Macaca mulatta: one gene and its partner. The main gene of each other region encodes a partner of the protein of the gene in region 2 in a complex. Links are inferred from orthologs where the notes say so. Each region holds a gene or a part of one and is shown on either strand. Other genes may lie near its edges.

Region 1 (4,243 bases), on a different chromosome or scaffold from region 2:
AGCCTCAGTGTCATCATTTTTAAGATGATTCCATTGGACATGCCCATCTGGTCCCTCAGCATCCCCACTTAAACCACTGGCCTGAGCCTTGGGCCCACCCACACCTGCCACACCCTCCACCAGGGCTAGTCCCACCAAGCCACATACCTTGAAGCCCTCTCGGGTCACCTGGCCCTTCTGAAAGTTCCTCATGAACTCAGCATTCTCTGCCTGGGTGTGCACCTCCTTGGTGGCCTCCTTCAGGGCCTCTGACAAATCCTGGGGCATGCTGAGGAGGAAATGGGATAGGTGAACACAAAGCTGGCTGGGGGTGGGGTCCTCCCCAACTGCAGGAGCCACCCACCTGTAAGCAGGCCTCCAAGGACTCCCATTCTTATTCAGGCCACATTCCCAATCGCTTTAAGATGCAGCCTTGTGGCTGGGTGCAGTGGCTCACGCCTGTAATCCCAGCACTTTGGGAGGCCAAGGTGGGCGGATCACCTGAGGTCAGGAGTTCGAGACTAGCCTGGCAAACATGGTGAAACCCCATCTCTACTAAAAATACAAAATTAGCCGGGCATGGTGGCGGATGCCTGTAATCCCAGCGATTATGCCTATAACTGCTTGAACCCCGGAGGCAAATGTTGCAGTGAGCTGAGATCACACCACTGCACTCCAGCCTTGGTGACAGAGAAACTCCATCTTAAAAAAAAAAAGAAAAAAAGAAAGGGCCAAGCGTGGTGGCTCACACCTGTAATCCTAGCAGTTTGGGAAGCCAAGGCGGGCAGATCACCTGAGGTCAGGAGTTTGAGCCCAGCCTGGCCAACATTGGTGAAACCCTATCTCTACTAAAAATACAAAAAAAAAAAAAAAAAAAAAAAAATTAGCCGGGTGTGGTGGTGGGCGCCTGTAATCCCAACTACTCAAGAGGCTGAGGCAGGAGAATAGCTTGAACCCAGGAAGTGGAGGTTGCAGTGAGCCGAGATCACGCCACTGCACTCCAGCCTGGGCAACAGAGCAAGACTCCATCTCAAAAAAAAAAAAAAAGCAAAAAAAAAAACCCAGAATCAACAACAACAAAAAAACAAATTCAGGCTGGGCATGGTGACTCTTGCAGCCTTGTAAACACTCTTCAGTCATTAAAACACTAACTAGGCCAGGCGCGGGCGCGGTGGCTCAAGCCTGTAATCCCAGCACTTTGGGAGGCCGAGATGGGCGGACCACGAGGTCAGGAGATTGAGACCATCCTGGCTAACGTGGTGAAACCCCGTCTCTACTAAAAAATACAAAAAACTAGCCGGGCGAGGTGGCGGGCGCCTGTAGTCCCAGCTACTCGGGAGGCTGAGGCGGGAGAATGGCGTGAACCGTGGAGGTGGAGCTGGCAGTGAGCTGAGATCCGGCCACTGCACTCCAGCCTGGGTGACAGAGCGAGACTCCGTCTCAAAAAAAAATAAAATAAAAATAAAACACTGAATAATACAGTCCCCCAAACCAAGGGGGAAATCCTGGTACCGGTAGTTCCCAGTGGAGAGGAGGAGGAGGTACAGCATAACCCAGGAAAAAGCAGAGGCCCCATGAACGCGCATCTCAAAGTTTGTAATTGCTTTGATTGGCTTTTAGACCCAATATTTAATTCAGTTATTTTGTTAAAGTTTCAGATGCAAATCTCATGACCCCCCTATCATGTTATGCTCATCATGAAGACGTCAGGGTTAAAAATTCTGAAAAATTCTGCTTTAGTTAAAGAAAAAGTCTCGGCAGGGCGCAGTGGCTCAAGCCTGTAATCCCAGCACTTTGGGAGGCCGAGACGGGTGGATCACGAGGTCAGGAGATCGAGACCATCCTGGCTAACACGGTGAAACCCCGTCTCTACTAAAAAATACAAAAAAAACTAGCCGGGTGAGTTGGCGGGCGCCTGTAATCCCAGCTACTCAGGAGGCTGAGGCAGGAGAAAGGCGTAAACCTGGGAGGCGGAGCTTGCAGTGAACTGAGATCTGGCCACTGCACTCCAGCCCGGGCGACAGAGCAAGACTCCGTCTCAAAAAAAAAAAAAAGAAAGAAAGAAAAAGTCTCTCCGGGAGTATTTCTGTCATGGGTCCGTATCCCTGCGTCCCCATAGAACTGTCATTTTTCCCTTTCCTCCCGCCCTGCTTCCCGGAACATCATCCCCTGTTCTACAACACAGCTGATCAAATTCTTGGGAGAAGCGGCACACGCCTGTAAGTCCCAGTTAACTCTGGGGGCTGAGGTGGGAGGATGCTTGAGCCCAGGAGTTAAAAAAAAAAAAAAAAAAAAAAAAAAAAAAAAAACCTAAGAAATTCTTGAAAGAAGGGAACGAGCGAGACCTGGAGGTGGGCAGGCCAAGGTTCAACACCCAGTTCTGACACCTGCTGACTGAGTACTCTAGGGTATGTCGCCTGCCTGAACTGGGCAATCCTTATTTGTGAGACGCGGAACACCGTAGCCAGGGTGATGTCTGGCTCAGGTCCTCCGTAGCTAGTGAGGGACAGATGCCACCAAGAGAACCAAGCATGCTCTCCCAGGCTAGCGGAGCCCCAGGGATCTAGATTCAGCAGACAGCAGCTCCAAGCACACCTCAAAAGTTGGATTAAAACAAAATTGACTCCCTCACAGGGAAGCCCCAGAGATCTAGATTCAGCAGAGAGCAACTCCAAACACACCTCGAAAGTTGGATTTAACAAACATTGGCTACCTCAAAGGCTGGATACTCTAGGGACACTCCCATCTTGGTCCCCAACCGCATACCAGGGTGCCAGGCATGTAAATCACCGTTCCTCCCTCCAGCCACCCTACGGGCACAGGCAGGATCAGAACCCCGCGCCTCCTGACTCCAGGGCCCAAGTTTCTGGCTCCCGGGCTCTGTCGCTGCGTGGCAGTGTCCCGGGTGGGACTGGGACGCCAGCTGGGAGGGGAGGGAAAGGCGCCCGTCCCGCGCCCCGCGCTTGCCTGTCGGGTTGCAGACGCTCCATCCGGCCGGTGCTGGGCTCGTTCGTGCTGGCTCCGCGGGCGGCGGCTGCTCTGAGGACGCTCGAGAGGAGGCAGGCGTTGACTGTGCCGGAGCCGCGACCGGTCACATTTATGCTCGGCGGGTCACGTGGGCCAGGCGGAACAGCTGAGGCCCACTTTCTGGCCGGGCGTTGCAACACCCGCAGGGGCCCGCGCCCAGCCCGCCCCGGGCCAGTGTGGGGTGGAGAGGAGCAGTCATATGACCCTGGGGAAACAAAGTCTGGCCATAGACTTTTAGAAAAAAAAAAACACACACACACACACACCTTAAGGAAATCTGAGAAGCTGCAGCCTCTGGGTGTGATTTTGCTCCTTCCAGAGCCCCCCCTTCTGCTCCCTGTCCCCTTGGGACTTGATGCACCCCAGGCGTCCCAGAAGGTTCCAGAAAGCTGGGAGGCAGCGCTGCTCAGAGCAAGAGGCTGGTGGGTAACATCAGGAACTTAGCAACCCCAGACCCTGCTGTCTCCAGCTCCCTAAAATGCCACCTTCTGGAGTCCTCTGCTGACTGCTTGCCTCCTCACACCCCCTTTAAATGTACATTTAGGATCTGGTTTTTTAGTTCCTGTCAAAAAACAGAGACTCCAGTATTTTCATGGTTCATCCCTACAACTGACCTGTGGGGGTAGATCGCTCCCATTTTGCAGCTGGAGAAACTGAGGCTCAGAGGGGTGCAGTGGTGTCACACATAAAGCAGGAAGCCAGTGTCCAAACCCAGGGAGGAGACTAAGTCCCCGCCTGCCTCCTCCACACTCCGGCAGCACCTGGTGCCCGCCTGGACTGGGACACCTGTCATACAAACTGCTTCCCTGCTGGGATGCGTGGGACACTCTTCCAGGCACATTCAGGTCTGACTTATACTCAGTGCCTGCTCAGGGCCCAGAGCAGAGCTGGCCCTTGCTGATCGCCTATTGAATCAATTCTTCATGAGGTGGACTGCTGAGAACTTGGGGAAAAGAGGGTCATTGGGTGAACCCAGAGGACAAAACAAATGGACCAGATGATTCATAGATTTCATAGAGTCATTTCCTAATGCTATGATTCTCATTCTAATGTTTTTTTGTTTTTTATAAGATGGCTTTCAGGCCTGGCATGGTAGCTCACACCTGTAGTCCCAGCACTTTGGGAGGTTGAGGTGGGAAGATTGCTTTGAGCCCAGTTGAGGTGGGAAGATTGTTTTGAGTTCGAGACTGGCCTGGGCAACATAGGGAGACCCTGTCTCTATAAAATAGAAAATAAA
Region 2 (3,650 bases):
TCTGGGGTCAAGTTTGCGGTGAGTCACCCAAAGACTGCTGTGGGCTCCCGGTGGCCTGCAGTGCCTCCGGATCTTCGTGTCTGAAAGGCAGCCCTCCAGACCCCCACCCCGTTCTCAGCAGCCAGGGCAGGCCACTCGTGAGACCCTCTCCTCTGCCCTGGACCCCAGCACTATGAGAGTGTCCCCTCCCTGTCCTCAGCTCCAGGGGACATTGGGTGCTGGAGACTAAAGGCAAGAGGGTTCTGGCCGGACGACTGAGACTTGGCTGGGCTAGGGGAGCTGGAGTCCCAGCCAGTGGGGAGGGTGGGCTGCTTCCACTTCCCCATAGGTTGAGGCTGGCGGTGGACTGGGCAGGCTGTGGGCTGCAGGTCACCCACACGAAGCCTCTTCAGTGGCCCAGTGTTCCTCGCAGTGCAAGGCGCCTGATGGGATGGAGGCCTGCAGGTGTTCCCAGCAGCTCAGCCAGCGCTGTGGGGCCTCCCACCCCGCCCCCATGGCACCTCCCGCTGGTCAGGCCGAGGGCCAGGCCTCAGAGCGGCCCCTGTGTCCACACAGGTGTTTGGTCTTGGGAACAAAACCTACGAGCACTTCAATGCCATGGGCAAGTACGTGGACAAGCGGCTGGAGCAGCTCGGCGCCCAGCGCATCTTTGAGCTGGGCTTGGGCGACGACGATGGGAAGTGAGTGCCCACCCTGCCACCCTGATCAGCGCTGTGGGCCTCGGCAAGGGCCGTGGAACGTGAGGGGCACGCACACCCTTGTGTCAGCTGAGACTCAGCGACACGCACCTCCCACACAGGGAAGGGGCTCTCCCGCCTCTGCCCTGCCCCTGCCGGTGTTGCTTTTCGGCTTGTCCGACTCCCTGGAGCCTTCCTGATGCTCTGGGTTGATGTCACTGGTGCCCAGTCCTGAGCTTTGGGGACGGGGCGTGCCCGGCACCAGGTATTGTTGCCACATCGGCCTGCCCTGAGCCGTTCCCCCCTCCTCTCCTCGGCCCAGCTTGGAGGAGGACTTCATCACCTGGCGAGAGCAGTTCTGGCCGGCCGTGTGCGAGCACTTTGGGGTGGAAGCCACTGGCGAGGAGTCCAGGTGAGCGAGGGCCCGCAGGTGCCACCGGTGGGTGGGCTGGGCTGGTCCTGTGCCGAGGGTGGCCACCCTGGAATGGGGGCTGGCAGTGGGTCACAGCGAGGTCGAGGAGGGACCTTGGTCCCAGCCAAGGACTCACTCTGCCACCTTGCTCTGCACTGCCCCGGGGCAGCGGGGCGCACCCCACCTGTCGACAAGGACACAGTGCGTCGGGCTCTGAGGCTAGGTTCAACTTTGGCAGAGGGGTTCATTTCCTTAAAATCTGTCTCCATAGACTTGGCCAAAAACAGCGTTCCTCTCTGTGCCCTCGATGGCCCCTGGGTGCTGCCCAGGCTTTCCTTACTTTCTCCCAGAATCTCCCAGAAGCCTGCCCAGCCCTGCCCCGGCTTCTGGGCGCCTGACCCCCGGCAGCTCCATGCCACCTCCCTCCTTGCTCCCTCGCCTGCCCTTCTTGCGCATCTGCAGCAGGGGCTCCCCCGCCTCCTGTCGTATGTACCTGGGCCCTTGCCCCGAAGGCCACGCGCCACCTCCCCTGTAGTCCAGCCCCTCCCTCTCAGGACTGACCCCTGCTGCTTCCCGGCCTCACCCTCGGTCTTCCCCTTCCAGCATTCGCCAGTACGAGCTTGTGGTCCACACTGACGTAGACGCGGCCAAGGTGTACGTGGGGGAGATGGGCCGGCTGAAGAGCTACGAGAACCAGAAGCCGTGAGTGGAGGGAATGTGGCTTGGGGCAGACGGCTCTATGGCCGCTGGTGCATCCCAGACTCAGTCTGCCGTGTATCCTCATATCCCCGCAGGGCCCTTCTCACCAGACCCCGTGCCACGAGTGGGTGTGAGTGTCCCTACACAGGGAGGGCATGAGGCCCAGAGCAGAGAGGGGAACTGCCCGAGAGCCAGGCAGCTGCTCCATGCCCTGACGCAGTGCCTGTCCAGGGCCCGGCCCCGGAAGACTGGCACTCGCCCAGTTTGTACTGAGCTCACTTAGCCACCTTACTCTACACTGCCCAGGGCCGCAGGGCGCGTCCCACTTCTCAACAAGGACACAGCGCACTGGGCTCTGTGGCTACGATCCTCTTTGGCAGCTGGGCTCATTTTCTTAGAATCTGTCTCCATAGATAGACTTGGGGAAAACCTAGCGTTCCTCTGTGCCCTTGATGACCCCTGGGTGCTGGCCAGATTCCTGCCTGAGCCACCCAGGGAAGTCCGTGCCACTGCATCCAATACCAGCTGCCCTGCTTTCTGTAGGCCTGCCCCAGCCTGGCTGGAGCAAGAAGCCCCGCATTTCAGTGGCTTTCTGGAGTGCAGATTTCTGTCTCGTCCACGGTGTAGTCCAGGACATGTGGGGGTGGGGAAGCTGTGCCCCTCATTTGGAGACCCAGCCACCTTCCAGCCTGTGGCACCGTCAGCTTGGGTCTCACAGTTCTTTTAAGGGCCAGCCTCAGCTTCCACATTTGGAAACGGAGACACTGATGACCCAGCTCTGCCCACGTGGTGGGACTGTAGAGAGAACTGTATTGGGGCCAGGCGAGGTGGCTCACACATGTAATCCCAGCACTTTAGGAGGCCGAGGCGGGTTACTTGAGGTCAAGAGCTCGATACCAGCCTGGCCAACATGGTGAAACCCCGTCTCTAGTAAAAATATAAAAATTAGCCAGGCGTGGTGGCGCACGCCTGTAATTCCAGCTGCTCAGGAGGCTTAGGCAGGAGAATCACTTGAACCTGGGAGGTGGAGGTTGCAGTGAGCCGAGATTATGCCACTGCACTCCAGCCTGGGCGACAGAGCGAGACTCAGTCTCAAAAAGAAAGAGAACTGCATTGGATCGGGCTGGGAGAGCCCTTGATGTAACCGGTGAGATTTCCTCGTGATCTCTTGAGATTCCCTGTGCTTTGTGCAACCAGAAGGGTCCTTGTGGACAGAGACTCAGATCCAAGCCCTGGCAGCTCACTGCGCTTCTCTCCTCCCCACCCAGCCCCTTTGATGCCAAGAATCCATTCCTGGCTGCAGTCACCACCAACCGGAAGCTGAACCAGGGGACCGAGCGCCACCTCATGCACCTGGAATTAGACATCTCGGACTCCAAAATCAGGTACCAGCTGCCGCCGTCACCCCCTGAACCCTTACTCTGGGCCTCCTGACCCGGGGCAGGGCCGGCCTTCTGCCCTCCCGAGCCTGGCATCTCCCTCCAGGTATGAATCTGGGGACCACGTGGCTGTGTACCCGGCCAACGACTCTGCCCTCGTCAATCAGCTGGGCAAAATCCTGGGTGCCGACCTGGATGTCGTCATGTCCCTGAACAACCTGGATGGTGAGTGCCACAGTCAGGGCGCCCTGCATGGTCCAGGCAGCTGCAGGATTCGGCCTGTAGGAAGGCCCTGGGTTGAGCTTCTCCTTAGGCCTGAAGCCCGGGTACCTGGGCGGCCCTTGCACCGAGACTCCACGGTTACAGGATCCCAAGCAAATGGGAGGCAGAGTGGCCGTAGGTCAGGCCCTCTCTTGGGGTTCCCCCTACCCTGTCACTGTCATAGCCTTTAAGGGAGTGAGGTGCTGGGGCCTGGAGGCAGAG

Evidence for each region.
Region 1: the proteins of POR (region 2) and HMOX1 are in contact, whole or in part, in a crystal structure (PDB 3WKT), measured with the Rattus norvegicus proteins. The link is inferred for Macaca mulatta from reciprocal best matches to the Homo sapiens genes POR and HMOX1. Residues at the interface, in NP_113764.1 of Rattus norvegicus: Thr88, Thr177, Asp208, Asp209, Arg313, Arg514, Lys515, Gln517, Arg519, Leu520, Phe522, Lys523, His626, Lys665, Met667, Thr668, Lys669, Gly670, Tyr672; in NP_036712.1 of Rattus norvegicus: Asp12, Ser14, Glu15, Gln38, Ala75, Pro76, Glu81, Lys149, Ile150, Lys153, Ser171, Asp173, Asn174, Thr176, Lys177, Phe178, Lys179, Gln180, Leu181, Arg183, Ala184, Arg185, Asn187, Thr188.

What each region holds. Positions count from the first base shown.
Region 1 is NC_133415.1:16,160,363-16,164,605, forward strand, and holds the start of HMOX1 (heme oxygenase 1), read right to left. Parts: upstream 3,052-4,243; 5' UTR 2,970-3,051; coding exon 2,947-2,969; intron 2,048-2,946; exon of another isoform or gene 1,758-2,047; intron 1,038-1,757; exon of another isoform or gene 838-1,037; intron 535-837; exon of another isoform or gene 269-534; coding exon 148-268; intron 1-147.
Region 2 is NC_133408.1:50,268,698-50,272,347, reverse strand, and holds part of POR (NADPH--cytochrome P450 reductase), read left to right. Parts: coding exon 1-18; intron 19-555; coding exon 556-680; intron 681-999; coding exon 1,000-1,089; intron 1,090-1,692; coding exon 1,693-1,791; intron 1,792-3,056; coding exon 3,057-3,173; intron 3,174-3,273; coding exon 3,274-3,392; intron 3,393-3,650. UniProt on the Homo sapiens protein: This enzyme is required for electron transfer from NADP to cytochrome P450 in microsomes. It can also provide electron transfer to heme oxygenase and cytochrome B5.